Daphnia pulex: one gene and its partner. Each later gene encodes a partner of the first gene's protein in a complex. Links are inferred from orthologs where the notes say so. Each region holds a gene or a part of one and is shown in the gene's direction. Other genes may lie near its edges. The genes, in order: protein HBS1-like and protein pelota-like.

Region 1 (2,493 bases):
ACGCCGCCAGTGAATACGTCAAGGAGCGCGGCGGAACCAAGGCGTTGCTCAATTTAGTTGTTGTCGGGCATGTCGATGCGGGAAAGTCAACGTTGATGGGTCACTTGCTTTTCCGGTTGGGCCAGGTTTCCGCCAAGCAGATGCACAAATACGAGCAAGAGTCTAAGAAACTTGGAAAGCAATCGTTCATGTACGCGTGGGTACTCGATGAAACTGGGGAAGAAAGGTAAATACCACAAGTTAGCAAATGTTTTTGAAGAGTGTTCAATCAATGCAACGTAATTGCTGAAAATGTGTATCTTTTGATTAGAGCACGTGGAATCACAATGGACGTGGCCCAGTCGCAATTTGAAACGGAAAGCAAATCCATAACCCTTTTAGATGCGCCTGGACATCGAGACTTTATTCCTAATATGATTTTCGGAGCAGCTCAAGCCGATGTTGCCCTATTGGTTGTCGACGCCACCACTGGTGAATTTGAAACAGGATTTGAAAGTGGCGGGCAAACTAGGGAACATGCTCTCCTCGTGCGATCTCTCGGTATGATCAATTCATTCTTTGTGTTTTTACTCCGTTGATCTTGTTTGAAATTGATTTTTATGTCTGATTTTTTTTAGGTGTCAGCCAGTTGGGAGTCGTAAGTTCATTTTTATTTGATAAAAAATGTATCGAAATTTCTAACTTTAAGCTTTGAAACGAATATTCAACTAAGGTCGTCAACAAGTTGGATATGGTGGGTTGGTCACGTGATCGTTTCAATGAAATCTCGGCTCGCTTGGGTGCCTTTTTAAGACAAGCCGGCTACAAAGAGCAAGATGTATTCTACGTTCCTGTTTCCGGGCTCAGCGGAGAGAATCTCACCATTTCTAGCGAGCCCAAACTCACCGAGTGGTACAGCGGACCGACTTTGCTTCAAGCTATCGGTACACAATATTTCCATACGTTTCAAAGCCTAGCAGCTGTGTACGTTTTAACGATTGCAACTTTGGTATGTAGACAAATTTCGACCACCGGAACGTGCTCTAAATCGACCTGTTCGCTTCGTGATCAGTGATATCTTTAAAAGTGTGGTCGGTAGCTCTGGCTGTTGCTTGGCCGGTCGTCTTGAAAGCGGAATGATTCAGACCACTGATAAACTTCTAGTAATGCCTTTAAACGAAGTCATCCAAATAAAAAGTATTCTTTTTTTAATTATTTTTATTCTAATTGGATTCCTAAAAAATAACGTGTAATGTTTTATTATTTTTTGTAGATATCGCCATCAACGACAACTCAACGGGGTCATGTTTCGCCGGCGACCAAGTGGTGCTGACTGTAAGTGGTGCTGATCTCAGTGACGTCAGCCTTGGCTCTGTCTTGTGCGACCCCAGCCAGCCAATTAAAGTGACTTCACGCATTCAAGCCCGTGTGGTGATATTCAACGTCGACATCCCCATCACCAAAGGCTATCCGGTAAAATAAAATGGACTCTCACATTTGTAAATCTTCTTTTAAATGAACCGTTTGATTGTCTGCAGGTGGTGATTCATTATCAATCCCTGTCTGAAGCAGCTACGATCACCAAACTAATTGCCCAGATTCACAAGAGCACCGGTGAAGTGATTCGAAAACGGCCTCGATGCTTAACGAAACAAACCAGCGGTCTGGTGGAAATTGAAATTTCTCGTCCCATCTGCATGGAACTTTACAAAGATTACAGGGAACTGGGTCGATTCATGATCCGGGCAAGCGGTACGACCATCGCCGCCGGGCTCGTCACGAGTATCATGTGACGTCAATTACTTTCTCGTTAAGGTATTCCATCGAAACGGTGCATTAATTGTGTTTATTACCAAGCCGTTTGACATGTCCAGTAACGCACACTTTCTATTTTTAGATTGGGCAAGAATCGGTGGCGATGGATATTGCTTCCAATGCTGGAAAATTTTGTTGCGGTTTTCTTTGTTTTTTTGTGCATTGGTCCCAAATATAATGAGATGACGAGGACATGGAAGTGTTTTTTTCTGTTTTTCACACGACTTTGAACCGAATAGAAAGCAGCTAGCGCCTGGTAATTCACAGCGAAGGATCGGTATTGACGTAGTTTTGCCGTGTTATTTCAATTGATGATTGGTCTAGTCGAATCACATTGTCATTTATTTATTTCAGTATCAGCCGTATATAGCCAACAAAGTGCTAAGTGCCAAGCTATTACTTTCAGGGGATAGACCACAAAGCCAGTCAGTTTTATTGTCGAAGGGAAAATGGCTTTCACAATGGATACTTTCTCGCCAAAATTGGATTCAAGGGGAATCCAGCGGGTCGGGAGAAAGACCCTTTTTATTATTTTTTGTTTCTTTTAGGACCTGCGATTATACTCGATGCTGGGTGAGTAGCTGCTACCGCTACCGTTGCTAACGTTTCCGATTATAAAACACGGATGGAGTTTCGCCATTGGTTCTACTGACATTCACACAGATTCAACATTGACAATAGGGAAGTTGTTTCTTGGAC
Region 2 (4,019 bases), on another chromosome or scaffold:
GTTTTAGCTGCTGCTGGATGGTAGATGTTACACACGTGTGTCTTGGCCGTTTCTCAGGTTTAGTGGACGCAGAGAGGAAGCGACCTTGATTGTTGCTTGCACACACAACACATTGCATGTGCGTATTCATTAGCTTCAACCGGGTTTTTTCTTTCTTTCTTTCGTTCTTTAGCGGAAATATGGACGATTTCATCAAAAAGGATTTCTGCAATGGGCGTTTTTGCCCACCTGAATGTGTTAACATTTGCCAAGATGACGTGATGGTGCCTTCAGGAAGTTGGTGAAAAATAACAAGGTGACCAACAAACTGGACCCGAAATACCTCTTTGTGATATCGACGGTAGATTTGTTAAGCGTATTTGCTGCTTATCACGCTAGATAATGTCGATTTAACGACGAGTTGATGGATGAAAAAGAAAACCTTGCATATGCCAAAACGGGACAAGATTTCTGCTGCTGCAGTTCTTTTTTTTCTTCTCTTTGAAAAGTGAAATTACGGACACGTCATGGAATATCAAGCGACGCCCATAAACGCAGCAGCAGCACTTCATGTCCGCCTCGCTATGCAAGGTGAAAGGAAAACCTGGATTTATACACTCAACGCATTTATTGGCAGTTTTGTGTTTTGCCAAAAGAAAGAAAAAAAAAGGTGAATTACACGCGGGATAAAAAACTAATAGCGCAGACCATGCTGTGGAACTAGACAGCGCAGACTCAATATGTGTGTAAAATGCGTCACCGCATTTTCTTTTGGACGGGAAATCGTTCCATCAGCAAATAAGGTACTGTGAGCGTGGGGGGTTTTATTCCAACGAAAAAGTCGAACGTAACACGTCATCGTGCAGTTGCTGCGGGAATGAATTTACGCAATCGCGGAAGGTTCTAACTGGTCGACAGTACGACGACGAACAAAGGTCGTTTTGGTTGTTTTGATTTCTCGCCCATTCGACCTGAAAGATAAGGGAAACGGGGTAGAATATGTGGGCGACACTTTGTTTGGCCAAGAAAAGCAACGTTATTAGCCAATTAATAGCCGACAGCTTTCAAATCATGATGTCACTGATTTTTTCTTTGTTGCATGTTGGGTTAGTTTAGTTTGAAGTGTAACAAGCAATTGAACTTGGATTGGGGTTATAAAAATTGGAGTCACAACAACTTTTGTGAACAACAAACAAGGCGTGTCGCTTTCAATCGATTTACGTGCAAAAATAAATCGAAAGACGCCCATGCCTGCAACTGAAATTTTCCCTGAAAAATGTCTGCATTTCATTAAGGCCGGCGCTGCTGATAAAACCGTCGCAGCCTTGCTGCAAAGCGGCCATTTCGAAATGAAACAAAATTCTTGTTTCGTGAGTGTTGTTCGGCCTTGGGCTACTAAGATTAAAGACAAGGATGACACTCTTTGAGCGATCAAGCCAATTCTTTATTCATTTTTCTTTCATTCGCTTGATGTCTACCGTCATCGGTAGACCAGACAAATAGGGAAATAGTAGATAAATTGTGAGTCGCTTGTTTTTATGCAAAATGGCATGGCCACTCGTTCCGCAAAGAAAGCGCTAAAAGCAAACGTAATGAAAACATCATTTGAATTTTGAAATTTTATCAAACTTTCGCCATCTGACGTCTTTCTTTTCTACTATTTGACCGGTTCGCCTACCAAGTGTAGATGGCGTTCTTTCGTTCGTGTTCCACAAACATGATTGTTGACTTTCTACTTCAATCTTCCTCAATTACTTTAAATCTAACTAATTTAAGATGAAACTCGTCAGCAGATATATTGACAGAGACGGCACAGGGTCAGTGTACCTTCGAAAATCCGAAATCAATTGTGATAGTTGGTAATATTAGTTATGTTCTAGACGGGTCGCTCTCATCCCCGAGAATCCCGAAGATATGTGGCATGCTTACAACCTTATTTCTCATGGAGACACCATCAGAGCCTCAACAATTCGGTATCTTCCTTTAAAAACAAATACAAACAAACGTGTCTCGATGTTGATCACAAAAATTTTTGTTTTGATAAAACTTAGGAAAGTCCAAACTGAATCGGCAACTGGCTCATCTTCCAGCAGCCGAGTAAGGACAATGCTCACTATAGAAGTTGAAACCATAGATTTTGATACTCAGGCCTGTGTATTAAGGTTAAAAGGAAGAAATATAGAAGAAAATCAATATGTCAAGGTATCATGGAATGACTTCATATTTTAGTGTCCATCTACCAATTAATTCATACATACAATTGACTTTCAGATGGGAGCGTACCACACAGTTGATATTGAGCCAAACAGAAAATTTTCGCTAACCAAAGCTTGCTGGGATGTTGTGGCCCTTGAACGCATTGATATGGCTTGTGACCCGAGTCAGAATGCAGATGTTGCTGCAGTTATTATGCATGAAGGTTTGGCAAATGTCTGTCTGGTCACAGGAGCAATGACCCTTGTCAGAGCTAAAATTGATGTTACCATTCCTCGTAAGAGAAAAGGAAGCACATCACAACATGAAAAGGTTTATTAAAGGCCTGATTTCATTATTTACAAAATTTTCAGCATTGACATTTGAATTTATGACGCAGGGTTTACAAAAGTTTTACGACACCGTCTTACAAGCCATTCTTCGGCACGTCAATTTTGAAGTCACCCGATGCATTTTGCTCGCCTCTCCCGGTTTTGTGAAGGATCATTTCTTTGAATACATGATGCAATGGGCTTCGAAAAATGATAATCGAATGCTGATCGATAACAAATCAAAATTTCTTCTTATTCACGCCTCGTCAGGATTTAAACATTCATTAAAAGGCAAGTGCAAGGTCGGGAACATGAATTATTTAACTTTTTTTTCTCAGCTAACATTCCACGTTTTGTAGAAGTTTTAGCCGATCCCGCTGTCACATCGCGAATGGCCGATACTAAAGCCATGGCCGAAGTGAAAGCACTAGAAAATTTTTATTCAATTCTACAAACAGAGCCAAGTCGTGCCTTCTACGGCCTGAAACACGTTCTAAAAGCCAATGAAGGTCAAGCTATTGATACTCTTTTGGTTTCCGATAATCTTTTCAGGTATACATTGAAGTATAAACTACTTTCAAATGCAAATTATTAATCAGCTTGTTCTATCAGGTCTCAAAGTGTTGAGGAACGTAAAAAGTACGTTAAGCTCGTTGAAAGTGTGCGAGACAATGGAGGTATTGCCCGCATTTTCTCCTCACTTCACGTTTCGGGGGAACGTAAGTGCTTTCCTTTAATGACTGAATCATACGAAAACGGAAACTTGACTACAATATCTCTTTTGAAACAGAACTTATGCAGTTAACTGGTGTGGCCGCAGTGCTTAGGTTTCCTATGCCAGAGTTGGAAGATGAACCGTTGGACAGTGATGAAGACTCAGAATAATAAAGCTAACAATCGAGAGATTCCTTGCCTTTTTTAAGTCCAGTCCAAATATTTCCCCACTGCACTTATGTTAGAGGTGTAAATAAAATAAGGAAGTCACTGCTGTTAAATAATATTTTGCCAAAACTATGTTTTAGACTTTTAGTCATAGGATATATTCACACCAATTATTATTAATTTCTTCCTTAAAAATTTTTTTTTTATTTTACTTGTGTTTAAACAGATTATCGACCACTTTGTTTTTTAGGTATGAGACCTTCCCCGTGTTGTATGTAAATGTTTCTTCTTGGAATCGGCAAAGCCTAGAAGTGGATACACGTTAAACATTCGAATTGCAGGGCGTGACTATGTTTGGCGTGAGTCTGAAACAAGGATATCTGTGTGTTTTCAGTTATAATTGGAATCTCGGTCAGTAAGTTTATTGCTCTCTGATTCAAGAGACCATTCCATTTATGTGATCTAACCTGTAAATTGAGCTGTGCAGTGTGCACGTATACCTCAAGATGACTCACGACATCAACAATTCGGCAATTTCATTAGATCACCTTGCAACCTTTCACTTTTTTTGTCCCAATTGCAGGAGTAGAACTAAAAGTTAATAGGGTTGCCATTGAGTGATTTATGGCATGA

The links.
Region 2: protein HBS1-like (region 1) and protein pelota-like share a complex: the UniProt entries of both Drosophila melanogaster proteins name them as parts of the pelota-HBS1L complex. The link is inferred for Daphnia pulex from reciprocal best matches to the Drosophila melanogaster genes HBS1 and pelo.

The regions. Positions count from the first base shown.
Region 1 is NC_060024.1:1,849,770-1,852,262, reverse strand, and holds the end of protein HBS1-like, read left to right. Parts: coding exon 1-226; intron 227-310; coding exon 311-540; intron 541-617; coding exon 618-637; intron 638-712; coding exon 713-923; intron 924-996; coding exon 997-1,176; intron 1,177-1,252; coding exon 1,253-1,452; intron 1,453-1,517; coding exon 1,518-1,772; 3' UTR 1,773-1,794; intron 1,795-1,876; 3' UTR 1,877-1,986; downstream 1,987-2,493. UniProt on the Drosophila melanogaster protein: GTPase component of the Pelota-HBS1L complex, a complex that recognizes stalled ribosomes and triggers the No-Go Decay (NGD) pathway.
Region 2 is NC_060025.1:2,076,872-2,080,890, reverse strand, and holds protein pelota-like, read left to right. Parts: upstream 1-1,648; 5' UTR 1,649-1,755; coding exon 1,756-1,796; intron 1,797-1,859; coding exon 1,860-1,952; intron 1,953-2,030; coding exon 2,031-2,181; intron 2,182-2,250; coding exon 2,251-2,505; intron 2,506-2,572; coding exon 2,573-2,795; intron 2,796-2,863; coding exon 2,864-3,056; intron 3,057-3,116; coding exon 3,117-3,223; intron 3,224-3,294; coding exon 3,295-3,389; 3' UTR 3,390-3,499; downstream 3,500-4,019. UniProt on the Drosophila melanogaster protein: Component of the Pelota-HBS1L complex, a complex that recognizes stalled ribosomes and triggers the No-Go Decay (NGD) pathway.